Drosophila melanogaster: one gene and its partners. The protein of the gene in region 1 purifies or fractionates together with the protein of each later gene. This does not show direct contact. Each region holds a gene or a part of one and is shown in the gene's direction. Other genes may lie near its edges.

Region 1 (5,064 bases):
GCTAAAGGGCAATCCCTACTGGGAGAATCGAATCCTCAAAGATCTGGGACTAGACGGAAAGCAGAGCGATTTTACTGTCGTCAAGAACATACCGGAGAACAATGCCCGCCTGTGGAAGATCAAGCATCTAATTAAGGTTACGCCGGTCACGTTCCCCTACGGAGAGCCCACTGCCCAGGATGTCCGGCATACGATACTCAAGGAGAACGGCGAGTGCCTGGTAACCAAGGACCTGGGACCCATCGATACCCGCCTGGCGGCTCGCCAGGATTACGACGAGCAGCCCAAGCGACTGGATACCGATCTGCTGCGCAAAGATGCCCGCCTCAAGTGGCTAAATCCCTGGTAGTTAAAATTTGTTTTCTTTATTCCGAAAAAATAGTTTTTTAAATACAAACCGAAACCCAAACTAAGCATTAAAATGTGGAGTCGGTCGGTCCTTTCTCAGTAAATGGCCATGGCCACCTTCTTCTCCAGCGTCTTGCAGCCCGAAATGGCGAACAAGCTGTGCGTGCGATCGTAACTAATGGAGGAGTTTATTATGTCCTCAATGATTTTTTGGTTGTTCGCTTGCTTAGGATCGCGCCGCCACCTTAAAAGCTCCGCCTCCAGGCACTTGATCACATGCGCCTTCTCCATCGGCAGGAACGGAATGAAATGATCGATAACATGAGACTCAATCATGGTGGTCTTTTTCATACCGCCATCCATGTTATAGGCGGCCTTCCGCAAAAGGGGCTCAAAGTCACTCAGTCGTGTGTCCTCGCGCAGCCTACCATTCTTCATCACACTACCCAGATGACTGGCTATATGACTGCCCGCCGTGTTCGAGAGAAAGATGAAGATTGCCTTTGTGTTATCCGTGCCATCGACAAAGGCGTTGTAGTCCACCAGCGAGGTGAGCTGGTCGAATACTCCGCTGGGCATTTTATCCACCTCGTCGAAGATGAACAAAGATCTCGGGCAGCTACGCAAGGTATCGCGCACCGCATTATTGATTTTCACCCTATAGTTAGACACCTCACTTTCCTTGGGAAAGTCAGCTTGTCCGAGATACTTGGTTACATAGTTCGACCTGGAGCCCTTCAAATACATAGCATCTGCAATTTGCTCAGCCACAAAATTCTTGCCCGTACCGGGCTGGCCGTGAAAGCTGATGACCAGCGGTTTCCGTGACTTATTGCCCGAAGCGATGTGCGCCTTCAGTGCGGGGACGATATGCTGCCTCACGATGTGCTGGCCAATGAGGGTGCGTTCCAGGGATCTTTCTAATTCTGTAATTACCCACTGTACTGGTTAGTCATTTTGTTGCATACAAAACTACTCACTCACCATCTATTCTCGCCGGAATGTTTCGGTCATCGCAGCATTCGGCAAACCGGCAATATGTATGTTCTTTGAAGTACGCCCCAAGGGCCACGGCGCCAACGGCACCAATGGTCAGGGGATCCACCGACTGGAGGGGAAGCGGCAGTATTACAAGCACGCTAAGGCACAGTGATAACATGCGTGGAAAGCTCATCATAAAATGCAAGGAAAATTCCGCGGTGGAATGTATAGATGGGCAAAAGCGATAGGCAGCATAAGACTAGATTGCAGCACTTGCCGGCAACCGTTTCTATCGATAGTTGTGTAGCAGTGGCATTCAACAGATTTTTATTGTAAGTCAGTCAGTGGTATGTTTTGGTTAATTGAGTATGCCGCAATTCTGCGCATATGGCGCCAAAGAAAACGTTTATTCAGGCCCCATTTTCAGTCCGCCGCTTACGCCGCCGCTGTTATCGATAAACCCTGCCATCGATGGCGGCACATCTTTAGTTCTTTGGCAAAAAAAAAAAATAGCATCGCATCGCGTTTTTTGTGAAAATTGTGACAAAGCTGTTTTGAAAGTTGGCAAGCTAATTGACGCTCGCAGTGAAATACTAGACGCACCAACAAGGCCCATCCGTCAAGCGTATCCTGTCCAGGATCCCCGAAAAAGTCCAGGTCCAAGAGGTGTACCCATCAGCGTGCTTTTCTGTCTGCCGGTGGCCAAGGACCAATCGGTAATCGGTGTTTTCCGCAAAATTCACAGAAAATTCACGGGAAGATGAGTCGCAGGAGGGCTCACGACACGGAGGATGAGGGCTATGGTAAGTGGGCATCGATGTAATCATGAACGCAAAGCATTTATGGGGGCATTTAATTGCAGATCATCGGCGCAACAAGCGTAGACGTGTGTCCGAAAACCAGGAGATCGAGGATCGTCTGGAGTCGCTGATACTGCGGGTGGGCGAGCGTAGCACCTCCTCCGTGGAATCGAACCTAGAGGGACTCGTCTCCGTTCTGGAGGCCGATCTGGGCACGTTTCGCCTGAAGATCCTGCGCATCCTGTCCGACTGCGCCGTGCGAATGCCAGAGAAGTGTACCGTTTACACCACGTTGGTGGGCCTGCTCAATGCCAAGAACTACAAGTTTGGCGGCGAGTTCGTGGATCACATGGTGAAGACCTTCAAGGAGTCCCTCAAGATGTGCCGCTGGGATGCCGCCCGCTACTCGCTGCGCTTTCTGGCCGACCTGGTCAATTGCCACGTCATTTCGGCCACCAGTCTCCTCCAGCTGCTGGACACCATGATCGATGTCTCCAACGAGGATACAGTGCCCCAGGTGCGTCGCGATTGGTTCGTCTTTGCTGTGCTCTCCACGCTACCCTGGGTGGGTCGCGATCTCTACGAGAAGAAGGAGTCTGCCCTGGAGTCCCTGTTGCTTAGGATCGAGGTCTATCTAAACAAACGCTCAAAGAAGCACCATAATGCGCTGAGGGTGTGGTCCTCAGACGCTCCGCATCCACAGGAGGAGTACTTGGACTGCCTGTGGGCGCAGATACGCAAGTTGCGGCAGGACAATTGGGCGGAGAAGCATATACCACGACCCTATCTCGTATTCGATTCAATACTTTGCGAGGCACTGCAGCACAATCTGCCCACGATTGTGCCGCCGCCGCATCACGACAACTTTGAGTATCCCATGCCCTGGGTGGTGTACCGCATGTTCGACTACACCGACTGCCCCGATGGGCCCAATCTGCCGGGTGCCCACTCAATAGAGCGCTTTTTGATTGAGGAGCATCTACACCATATCATTGAAACATACCATCACGAGCGAAAGGATTGCGCCGCCCAGCTGCTTAGCTTTCCGTACAAGCACAAGATCCCGCTGGAGTACTGCATCGTCGAGGTGGTCTTCGCCGAGCTCTTTCATATGCCCACGCCGCGCTATCTGGACATCTGCTACGGCTCCATTTTGATCGAACTCTGCAAACTGCAGCCGGCCACGCTGCCCCAGGTTCTGGCCCAGGCCACCGAGATCCTCTTTATGCGCATCGACTCGATGAACACGTCATGTTTCGATCGGTTCGTCAATTGGTTCTCCTATCATCTGAGCAACTTCAAGTTCACATGGTCATGGGACGAATGGGACAGCTGTCTGCTCCTCGACGGCGAGCATCCGCGTCCCAAATTCATCCAGGAGGTGTTGCAGAAGTGCCTACGGTAGGTTATAACCGTGTCTGTGTACAAACCATTGATACTCAACTACATACATCTTTGACAGCCTTTCGTATCATCAGCGCATTACGGAAATGATGCCAACGACTTATGCCAAGTTGATTCCCTTGACGCCAGTGCCCAATTACAAGTACGCCAACGAGGAGGCAGGTGAGTCTGACCCCGTGCCGTACGGATTACTTGAATTTATTGTGGGATTAAGTGTGCTTACGGCTAGGCTTAAATATAGGATAGGATAATTAGGATTTAAGATAGATGGGTAGGCAGCTAATTAGTCAGCACTGGCTTCACCTCGTTCTCCTCGTCGTCCACAATGATGGGTATCTCCTCGCCGTTCTCGCCCACCTTGATGCTCACAGATCGACTAACCGATTTCTGGGTGAGCACCTCCACCACTTCCTTGGATGGTGCCGGTGGCAGTGGCGACGCCAATGGAACGCCAGTGGATGCAGCGATTGTGGACGGCGGAGTTGCTGTGGTTGAAGTTGTCGTGCTGGTTGACGAAGTGGTGCTAACGAAGGCTTCGTGGCGGTGACTGCTCTTGGCCTTGCTGTCCTGCTCCTTTCGCCGCTTGGCCCACTTATTCAGCGGTGGTTCCGTGCTGGTGGATGTAGTGGTTGTGGTGGATCGTCCAGCTGTTATCTTTGGCGTGGTGCGATACCTACTAATGGAGCGCAATGGACTAAAGTGCGTGGAGGTGGACACAAAACTGGCGATCGTGGTGGGGATGACGTGTGTGGATCTCTCAGTGCTTGCAGTCTCAGTGGTTGTGCCAGCGTTGGAAGATGGCGCTGAAACAGTTGTGCTCAGTTCGGGCTGCTCCAAACTGACCACTGGGCGCTGTTCCCCTCGCTTTTGGTCACTTGCCTGCTCCTGATGCTGTCCCTTATCGGTTTCCTCCTCCGGCGGCTGCTTATCCTGCAGCACATCGATGGGGTTCTGGTGGACATATAAAGGATCCGGCTCGGAATAGCGATAGACGGTCTCCTCCAGCGGTTCGCTTTGCACAAAGGACTTGTCATCATCGCCGGAATTGCCGCCCGCATAGATAAGCAAAGGTGGCAGCTTGGCTGTTTGATACTTGGAAGCCTGCCCATAAATTTGTGGTGTCCGCAGCAGTAAATCCTGATCTTGTTCCTCCAGAGATTCGGAAGAACCCGAATTGGAGCTGGGAAACTGCACTGTCTGATGATGGGTATATAAGTTTGAGGACGGATTGCCAGCCGGTGTGATCGGTTGCGGTGGCGAGGAGTTGGGCAAGCGGTAGCCCAATTCCGGATGCAATTGGGCATCGCCGGCACCAGGTGCCACATAGAAATGGTGATGGAAATGATGGGTTACAGCGCCCGAAATGCCTGCCAAATCCCCAGGGACCGCTGGACCAACATTACCAGCATTACCCAAATCACCGCTGTGTGATGGGAATCTTTCCAATTCCGGATGATTTCCAAATTTCAGCGCAGTCGGATAGCTTGGTCGAAATGTAGTCGGGACCACATAATTGGGCCGCAGTCCCAGA
Region 2 (7,099 bases), on another chromosome or scaffold:
GACCTTCCCAGGTGTCTACTACTATGGCTACGTGGTTTCCATCTCGCTATCCGGCTATCTGGCAGATCGGTGCAGCAGCAAGCGGCTGTTCATCGTGTCCCTGATCTTCGAGGCTGTGGCCTACATACTGCTCCCAGCAATGGCGCACTCTAGTTTCGAGGCCGGAGTGGTTGATCTGGTCATCTGTGGTTTACTGGCGGTAAGGAATAGCATCATTCAGATACTAATAGATATATATAGATCCTGCTACTTGACAGGGCTGTGGAAATCCGGCAATGTATAAACTGTTCGTGACCTGGGCTCATCCCACAGAGAGAACAGCGCTCCTGTCCTTCGCCTACAGTGGTCTTCTGATGGGCTCCATGTTGGTTTACCCGGTGGCCAGTTATCTGAGCAACTTCGGCTGGGAACTGTCCTTCTATGTAGTCGGTGGAGTTGGCCTCTCATTCGGCATTGCCTGCTGCTTTCTCGTTTACGACACCGTGGAGCAACATCCAAGGATATCGAATGAGGAGGTGGATTACCTGAGGCAGGGCAAGAGTCAATTGGGACAGCAGCGGCAGCCAGTGAGTAGTTCCTTGTACTTTTAACTTTAAAATTATAAATTAATTAGCTTCTTTTTAGGTGGTAACCATTCCCTGGAAGAGCCTGCTCGCCGCGCCGCCCGTCTACGCCTTCATCCTGACCCACATGTTCCACACCTACACCTTCCTGGTGATTGTGCAACTGATGCCGCGATTTATGCGCGAGGCCATGGAGTTCGATCTCCGCGAGGTGGGCTTCCTCTCGGCGGCGCCGTATCTGGGCGGGATCTGCTCGAAGGTGATGTGCATCCTGGGTGGCAGCTATGTGGAACGACGCGTGGGTCCTGACCAGAATTGTGTGCGAAGAATGCTGTACGGGATCTGTAAGGCATACCGATAATCGGAGTGCCACAGACATCTATAAAGAACACCTTCCCTTAGTGGATTCCTATATAGATTTCCGTAGCATCTCCAGAAACATCACCAATCTCTCTTTTATATCCCATTTTATAATACCAGGCAGCATCCTGACCACTTCTTTGATTGGGGTCATCATCCTGGCTAATTGTGATGACAAAATACTAGTACTTGTGATGTTTGCCTTCATGATGGCCACTACGGATATGGGTTTCAGTGGCTACTGGCCCACGCTGCTCTACTTTGCGCCCTCCTTCGCGGGATTGCTATCGGGATTGGCCAATGGAATGGCCCATCTTTCCGGATTCTTAGCTCCCCATCTTGTGGCCGCTCTGGTCCACACTGTAAGTTTAAATACAAGTAGTTTATGATTAAACTGATTTATTTATGTACCTCGCAGGGCAGCAAGGATGAGTGGAATGTGGTGTTGATGACGCTGATTGTCTTTAATACGATGGCCATGTTGGTATTTGCATTTTGCAGCAGTACGAACCTACAACCTTGGGATCCTCGTAGCAGAATGGAGAAAACTGCATCACCAAGTGCTCAGGAATCAAATAGTTAGCACTTATTTGTTTAAATGTTTTAACTTTTTTGTACTTTCGAAGCATTTTATTTGTTTACTATAAATGTAGAGTTAATTGTGTTAAAATAAAAACAAAATAAATGTAAATATACAATATACATATCAATTTAGTTTAAAATGATAATTGAACTTTCTTCAACGCAATCTTCAAATAAAATTTTTAAAAACCGCGCCTAGCACATAGTATCTTTCAATCTTATCGATAGTTTTACCGTTGTATAAAGCAAGCTGACAAATGTTTCACAACGACCAGTTTTCTACATTTCAAGTACAAAATTACACAAATATTCAATAATTCAAAAATATGTGTGAAAGCAGACATCTATTGGCAGTCAATGTACTAAATGCTCATATTCTTTACACGCCAATCGATAGCTGTTTGATTTGACGCATAGATTTGGTTTGAGTCCCGGCTGAGAACTGTAAGACGAAGAAATAGCTCATTTACCTACTTTAATGGTGCTAAATCGCATATATCACAATGCTTTAGGAAAAGTATTAATATTTCTAGAAAGCGTATGCTATAACTCTTTGTGCTATACTATATATAGGTGGAAAGACATCGATAGTCGCAGGGGAGTATCGATGCATCGATAGTGCCATCGATGTTTCTCCACCTTGCTTTATTAATCATTTCAATTTTTTTTCAATTCGGTTGCTTGACGTTCACTGACGTGATTCCGCACACAGCACATAGTCGAATACGTTTCGCAATAGAAATATCAAAATTCTCCGTGTGGACTCAATCTGGATTGGATGCAACACTAAATTACCAGTGTTTTCCTCGATTTTCTAGCGACGCAAAATTCTCAGTACAACCCAAAAAAAAAACGGAGAGTCTCTTCAACAACAAAATCAAGCATCATCGATAAAAACAACAAGTCTCCCGGAGGAAGTGGCTCCAAAATATCCAGTGCAACAGCGGACGAACTTCTCGGCAGGATTGAGAGTGAGTAGATCGGATTAAACAAATTAAATAATCCCAAACATTGTACATATGTATATACATTTATTTGTGCGCGGGGAAAGGCGGAAGTCAGAGAACTTGGCTTCCTGGTTTTTCATTTACCTTTTGGCGCTTCCGCCAAAACACTTAAACGTTCACTTAAAACCGCTTCTGGACAAATCAATAAAGGCCAAGTGTCGGATCGGACATTACCTTGGTGTTCCCTACTTACACTTGAAAAAATTTCGTTTAACATGGTAATAAAATTAATCAAGGCTATTTATTGCACATCACAAAGAAAGTTTATGACTTTATCAGTTAATTAACTACAATACAAGGGTATAAAAGTCAATTGCTTTTCAAAATGTCTCAATATAATAAAATTTAAAATCATTTCATATGCCTAACATATACATATACATATATCATCTTTCAAACCTACTAGTAGAAATTCGAATTTATAATTACCAAGTAAAGTGATTTATTGCCTTGAGTGTACTTCAAATAAAACATTAAATGCTAGAAGTCTACTTTTTTTCTTCCTGTGTACGTGTGCGTGGGCCAAGCTAGACTCCAAGTACACGAACCCCAAGAATATTAATGTTTAAACTTTAAACACTTGTTACCTTGAATGAAACAGTGCGCTGTATGTATTATCATTGCCGCTGCTGTTGTTGCTCTTTTTTTTGGGTTGAGGGAGGTTCATTCAATCGGGCACACCAACACCACTGCACTTGAGAGCCCATTTGTGTGTGTGTTTGTTGTTGCCTCCTTTGTGTTTTCTGCATATTCACTTTACATACTAAATGTATGCACGAATTTCGTCAAGTCCGCCGTGCAAATACATTTTAATTTTCGCAATTTCATTTAAAATATGGACGCTTAACTTAACATCTACTTGCAATTCGATGTGCTTCACTCGTGTGCGTGTGTGTGGCAGCACGTACACCAGTAAAGGGCCAGAGTTGCCATCCTAACTTCTTTTTTCCAAGCACTTTGTCTTGCTGATAAAAGCAGCTGATTTTTATAAATAAATAAGTAAAAGTTGGAAGACGCAAAAAATTCAATTTATTGATAGTGCGATTTGACCTACCAAAGGCAATAAAAATCTAGAATGGAGAGTAATCATTATCTTGTGTGGAATAAACATTCACGCAAAACTTGCCTATGTATGGAGAACTGTAAACAAATATTCGCACAGCCGCGGGTAACGAACTAGGCCCTCAATAAAAATAAATAACAAAATATATTATTTTCGATACAAACAATTCATAAAAAATGTCAAACATTTGCTCTTAAACTGACGTGCAATTATTAGTGCGCAAATATTGTAAGCAGAGTAAAAAAGAATGAAATTACGTGATTAAAATATTAATGTCCTAAAACTGTATTATAAAAATATGTACACAATCGAACGTTACAGGCACGTTCAACATGATAGCTAAGCCCACAAACTCCTCCGATGACAATCATCGCCTTTGGCTTATTGCGTTTTGCATAAATACCGCTCTTGACTTTCGTGTTATTTCACACGTTTGCTTGTTTGTTTTTAGCTGATAGCGGCATTTATATACGCCATAAAATGTTTAGCGGGGCTAGAAGTGATACGAGTTGTGAGCCTATACATTTCTAATCGGATGTAGTACTGAATTATAGACTACATTATATGTATATAGCATACAAGTATGTCCACTTATTTGGGGCTCTTTTCGCTTTTGCACCAAAAGCTGAGTCACTTTGTTTTCAAATTTTTGTGTGCCGCGGCCACAACGCAAAAAATAGACATCACTAAACAAAAAAACGTTGCGCAAAAAGAAAAGAGAAAATGTTCACTTATTTATATAAACAAATAGGTATTAGTGTTAGCCACTACACCTGTATAGGTGCGATTTTTGTTTTGTTTATCTCGTGGTAATGACGGAAAACCGGTTTCGTAGAACGAAAACACAACTGCTCCGGCTTCTTGCCGGTTAAATACGATTTGTTTAAATACAGAAGAGCCTGCCTAAGTCAAACGAAGCTAAAAAAAAATTCATTCAATTCATTCAGTAGCACAGCAGAAGAATTTGTATTTTCAATATTCGTTGGAGTAGGCTACAAGAAATATGTATGTTTGAGAACCTCAGAAAAACTCTGAAACTCCTGAGATTAAGTTGTAATTAAGCAATTTATAAATCAATCGAATGCCTTATATATAGACATATTTCCGTGGCACCTCAGATTCAAATGTTTAAATTGTATTTATTAATATAATATATTTCTCATAGTTTGAGCTTAATCGTTGAAATATTAAGAAATATGAGACCAACTGTTGATAAGTTCGCTTTTAGTAATCCAAAATCCCTTACAGCCAATATGTTGTTAAAAGTGCCATCTGTGGACTGGACGGATCAAATAATTTACGTAGTGGACGACGACGAGTCGCTGTCAGACATCGACGATGAGCCAGATTTTTCCGAATACATGTGGATGGAGAACGAGGAGGAGTTCGACAAGAACGTAAGATTAAATCTCCTATTTATGATTAACGAATTAACTAATACATTTGCTATCTGATAATAGGAACTGCAACGGCTGGAGGAGGAAGAGATTATGCAGGAGTGTTTTGAAGCCATGATAGAAGACGAGCTGGAGGAGCAGATCAACGAATGGGAGAAGGCCAAGTGAGTAGTGGCTATCCGGTTAACATTGCTGAATTAAAGCTAATTTGCAATCGCTTATTTCAGGACGGACGAGCAGAACACGGCACTTTCCGCACTACCCAAGAGCCAGTGTGATGTTGAAAAGTCTGTTCTGAATCCGATGGCTGATGAGTTTGTTCCGCGTTGTCATGTTATAGATTTCCCTGCCTCATAAAGCCAGCCCATATCTCCTGCCCGCCACAGAATCACAAACTACCCCGAACCCGTACCACGTGGACCTCATACGCGAAAAACCTTAGATAAACTGAAGACCCATTGCTAAGACTAGACTAACAGATTCCGCTAATGAGATTGATATTGATATTCTGACCAAGTTGAGCCAGATGGAGCATTGGGAGCAGTGGCTCATGAATATCTTATTTCTAGATACCAAAATGCTGGAAAAGAAAACTAAATATACCAACAAACTCCAAATGCTGGCGACCGAAATGCAAACGAATCATATTAAAAAAAAAACCTTATAAAAAACAACTGAACCACTGCAAAAATACAAAAAATATGTTTAAAAGAAAAACCAACAAAGAAACAAAAACACAACTTAAACTAAGAACAGACAAATAACAAAATAACAACTATGCCACGTACATTAGAGTACATTGAAATTAGAGTTAAAACCGAATTGTTTGCCGTGAAATTCGGAGCCCCAGAAATTCCGAACCTAAAATGTTATCGAGAAACGCAGACGCAGGCGCTTGCTGAAGCTAGTGAAAACTTTGGTATTAACGTACAAAACGAAAACAAATGACTTTTTACAAGCAACTAAATCTAAACTACAACTAAACTATGCCAATTTCCAGCTAAAGCAACTGTAAGCAACAAACAAGACTCGATTGTGTTAGAAACAAACCAAGAATTTGTAGCCGTCATGTCGTTAAATTGAAATTCTATTCAAAGACTTTAATCGTAGTTTAAATTGTAATTAATTTAACGTCCCGCCCACTGTCTACACTCGATTTAAGTTGATCATCTTTTTTTAATCTTTCACCATTGTTAACTCGTTGTACGTTCTATGCCCAAGTAACAAGAAGCGCTTGTTAACCTTCCCTACTGACTCGCAATATTTGTAATTTACCAATATAATCTAGTGAACTAAACGAATCGATATACTAATGTTTAACGCCTCTTTATACAAACATCATGCATAAATATGTATATCTAGTGTTAATGGAGGAGACAACAGACAACAACAACGCTGCAATAACAAGTAGTTTGTAATTTTAAGTATAAAATTCGTTTGATGCAAATGCACAAAGCCCTCATCGATTTGTTAATATCGTTAAAATTCGTTTCGGCATGTAGACAAAGATGAATTTCTATTTTTTCAATCAACTTAGATTTAGTGACTTAAGACAGCATTATAAGATCTACTACATTACTTACGTTACGTGTGATATAAAGATACAAAAAAACAAAGCAAAAAAAATATCAAAAATGATTTTAAAAATCTCAATAAAAAGAAGTATTATTATGGCATAAAAACTTGGTAGTTTTATTTTTTTTATATTTTTTTTCTTGCATAGATACTATGGAAAGTGAATCAGAAAGATAATCGAATTTACTGATCTTCATTTATTTTATTAGCATCTGAATTATTATATCATATTGGAAGAGCATGAAAATAATAAGATCTCTAAACATTAAAAATATTCTTTATCAAAATTTCATTGCACGCTTAATCATAACTTTTTACATACTTTTCATACGAATCTATTACTTTACACGAATAAATAAAGAATATATAGTATACGTAAGTTGTTGCGGAAAGGTTTTTGTAATTAAGCAATATAAAAGAAAAACATCCTAAAATCGGATAAATAATAAACAATGATTTGTAGTAATTGAAATTTGATAAAGTTTTTATTGCTTATAAAATGTTTTCAATTTCAAGAATACCGCTAATGCACTGCACTTTCGATAAGTTTTG
Region 3 (3,299 bases), on another chromosome or scaffold:
CCAGAGCTCGGTAATGGAGGGCACCATGTCCGACACGGTAACCACCTCGGTGCCTCAGGGAGATGTCGACAATCTGCTCCAGCAAGTGGCCGACGAGGCTGGCCTCGAACTCAACATGGAGCTGCCCAGCGGAGTTCAGAGCCAATCCGTTGGAGCCTCGACAGCAGTGTCCCAAGAGCAAGACGAGCTCACCCAGCGACTGGCACGTCTCCGCCAGGCTGAATAAAAATAGCGACGCCCTGCCCGTTGAATTTCTGTTTTAGCAATTAAGTACATTCAAAATATAAATAAGTATAAACTCAGTGATTGGAAGTCTATCGATGCTGCTTTGTCTACCATAATCAGAAGAATTGCCATGAATCTTTAAGTGTAAGTGTGCTGTTTGTATAGGCTTCAAACGGATTATGATTTACATGCTTTTCTAATGCAATATACGATAATCATGTTTTAAAGGCTTTGTTGTTATAGTTATTTGAAGACCTGCCAATTTTTGTAACTTGTTTACTTGGAAAGATATAGCATAATTTGGAAATAGAAATGGTTCTGCAGCAATCACAACTTTCATTGCTTTGGTTACTATAATTCATTTCTGGTCTTAGCTTTTATTTGTCTTAATATTATATTTAAAAGTATACAAGCCCTTTATCTTAAAACTAGAACACGCCAAGCAATCGCTATGACTCAGGTCAACAGTGGAGGTTGAGGTTGTTGATGCGGTGGTGCAATGACTGGATTGGGATTGATGGGTGCCTGTTTGGCTTTTTGCTTTCGGGGTTTCCGGGCAGCTGGAGTATTGGGTCCAGGCTCAGACCCGGGTGCTCCTGTTTCATCCGCCGCCTGCTTGTTTTTGGGCTTCGGTCCTCGACGCTTCTGCTCGGTTTTCCCTTTGGGATGTGGAGCCTCCATGGGAACGGATCGCCAGTCGTCTCCGTGCTTATCTAGTCGCCGTTTTAGAAGCTCCACGTCATGATTGCGCCTTCTTACTATCTTTTTGATCCCATTTACTCTGGATAAAAGGTACTGCACATTTTTGTTTACGTTTCGTGGAGCATAAAAATGACGGTTACCTCATCACACATCGCTCATTTTCCGCCTGAATCCTTTGGCACCTGTCATACAGTTTTTCCACCAGCTGTTTGTACATGAGTTCTTTCTTATTTAGCAACATTTTATACAGATATTGGTTATAGTTCAATATTTAGAAATGTTTTTATTTACGCCATGGCTCAGTGTGGCCAGATGGGCGATTTTCTTCTTGCTCCGTCTGTCGGTACAGGCGTTGCCACGTCATATTTATTCAAAAAAGGACTAGTTCACTTATTGAACTAAATTTAGCAAAAGTGCATAAAAACTGCTTGACATAATTGTCTTTAATTTAAGATTTAACTGGTCATAATAATTACTTTACATACTCGTTTTATGAAATGACAAAACCTGATGCATTTAAAATTATAAGTTAATGAAAATATAAACTATTTAAATTGGTTAATAATATAAATTTTATAATTTGCTATAACGGTTAAAGCTGTTACTTTTAGATGCAACTATTTAAATTGAATATCTAGTTCCTTAAAACTATTTACCCCTATTTGCACCAGCCTGGCAACTCTCTCATTTTGCAAACAGCCGTGTTAAGCAAACCCACAATTAGTAACTTATGTAGTTCCACAACAACAACCGGCATGCCAAACAAATCTTCCAGAGCAGACAGGAAGACAGCCAGAAGCAAATAGATATAGTGTTTGCGCCAACTATTATGTCTGCAGCCAACATGCCGACGACAACAGGAGCTCAGGGATCGGGAAACCAAGTTCCCACAACTAGCACTACGATTGTAAACCACTTCCGGGAGTTGATCAAGGAACCGAAGAACCTCGACGAGGCGGCCAACTATCTGTACCAGTCGCTGCTCGACGACGCCGTAGTCGGAATCTTTAACGAGACACATCATCTGCGAAAGTCAGGGAATCTGGCCGCCCTGGACGGAGTGCCGGAGGACTCAACCTATCGAATGTGCGAGATGCCCAACCTGGACATATTCGGCATCTCAACGGCCAAAAAGCCAATGGACTGCACCTGCCCCAACTGTGATCGCCTGGTGGCCGCCGCCCGCTTCGCCCCGCACCTGGAAAAGTGCATGGGCATGGGTCGTATCTCGTCGCGAATTGCCTCTCGTCGCTTGGCCACCAAAGAGGGCGCCACATCCGCCCACCTGCACTCTTCGGGAAATACCGGAGGCACTGATGATGAGGATGACGTGGACTGGTCGTCCGACAAGCGTCGAAAGAAATCAAACCAGAACTCAAGGAACAACGGCTCCAAGAAGAACAATGGCAAAACCTTTTAGTCAGAGCTAACAATCATTTTCGTAGTTTATTCTGCCATAAAAGTACACCTTTAAATCAGTCACCAATGTATTCTAAACTAATGGGATTTTGGTGATCGACCCCTACTCTTCTTTGAGATCATTTGAATAGGACAGCAGTTAGTGGCAATATCTAATCAATTAATATCTAGATATCATAGGACAAGGGTAATATAACTTTTCAGCAAATAGGCGCTTTTAAACATAGACTTTCCTGGTGCTAAATGAAGTAATTCAATGTAATAATATGAAAGCAAGCCTTAGTTTTATATTTTACAACTTAAAGAGTATATATTTTGGTTATTTTCCTTCCTTATCAATGGCAAACACCCGGATATGGTCGACCACTAGGGGTGTCCAGTCCGAATTTCTAGACAACTCCTCGAATTGTTTGTCAGTTTTGGGGTGGGTGTTTAAAAAGGGCTTGTGTTTCATTTCTAGAATGTCGTCATTGAAATTAACATTGCCGCCGGCGGTTAGGCCAAGGACTAGATGGCACTAAAAACGAAAGATCATAGAGATATTACATCTTTTAGAGGAAGGCGTCTTACCTCATGTTTTCGAAATGGTTCAAGAAGTGTCGGATTGTTTACTGCTCCGAAGAACTCGCCATCGAACTTAAAGATAATTTTGTCAGTCTGCCAGATAATAGTCGTGAAATCCGTCCCCATAGTAAATTTCCCCTGGCGTACAAGCGAATATGATCGAAAAAATCGTCATCCGCCTTATCCATACGGGGCACCAGAAGAATGTCTAAAGTAATCAAAACCATGTAGTGATTACCAGCTATAAAAACTAAATATCCACTCACTTGGAAACAACCAATCGCCTTTGGGCATTTTAGCTCTAATCTCAACTCGCCCATATTTAAAGGTAAAGTTCGTGTGCATGTTGGCGGATCTAAAGGTCTTGGAGACCCAAGGCTCCCGTTTCG

What was found.
Region 2: the proteins of Cbp80 (region 1) and Paip2 purify together in Drosophila melanogaster (affinity purification with mass spectrometry; one study listed by BioGRID). This does not show direct contact.
Region 3: the proteins of Cbp80 (region 1) and Sgf11 purify together in Drosophila melanogaster (affinity purification with western blotting; one study listed by BioGRID). This does not show direct contact.

The regions. Positions count from the first base shown.
Region 1 is NC_004354.4:4,648,241-4,653,304, forward strand, and holds the start of Cbp80 (cap binding protein 80), read left to right. Parts: upstream 1-1,809; 5' UTR 1,810-2,089; coding exon 2,090-2,132; intron 2,133-2,191; coding exon 2,192-3,530; intron 3,531-3,591; coding exon 3,592-3,695; intron 3,696-3,714; exon of another isoform or gene 3,715-3,812; coding exon of another isoform or gene 3,813-5,064. Other genes in the region: mRpL30 (mitochondrial ribosomal protein L30), read left to right, coding at 1-349; torsin, read right to left, coding at 445-1,274, 1,333-1,525; CG15473 (uncharacterized protein), read right to left, coding at 3,813-5,064. UniProt on the Drosophila melanogaster protein: Component of the cap-binding complex (CBC), which binds cotranscriptionally to the 5'-cap of pre-mRNAs and is involved in various processes such as pre-mRNA splicing and RNA-mediated gene silencing (RNAi).
Region 2 is NT_033777.3:12,978,912-12,986,010, forward strand, and holds Paip2 (polyA-binding protein interacting protein 2), read left to right. Parts: upstream 1-2,134; 5' UTR 2,135-2,476; intron 2,477-4,823; 5' UTR 4,824-4,828; coding exon 4,829-4,972; intron 4,973-5,035; coding exon 5,036-5,136; intron 5,137-5,199; coding exon 5,200-5,329; 3' UTR 5,330-6,577; downstream 6,578-7,099. Other genes in the region: CG7091 (uncharacterized protein), read left to right, coding at 1-199, 258-566, 625-907, 1,044-1,285, 1,342-1,506.
Region 3 is NT_037436.4:18,680,146-18,683,444, reverse strand, and holds Sgf11 (SAGA associated factor 11kDa), read left to right. Parts: upstream 1-1,608; 5' UTR 1,609-1,756; coding exon 1,757-2,347; 3' UTR 2,348-2,408; downstream 2,409-3,299. Other genes in the region: Chmp1 (charged multivesicular body protein 1), read left to right, coding at 1-226; CG32202 (uncharacterized protein), read right to left, coding at 682-1,006, 1,068-1,168.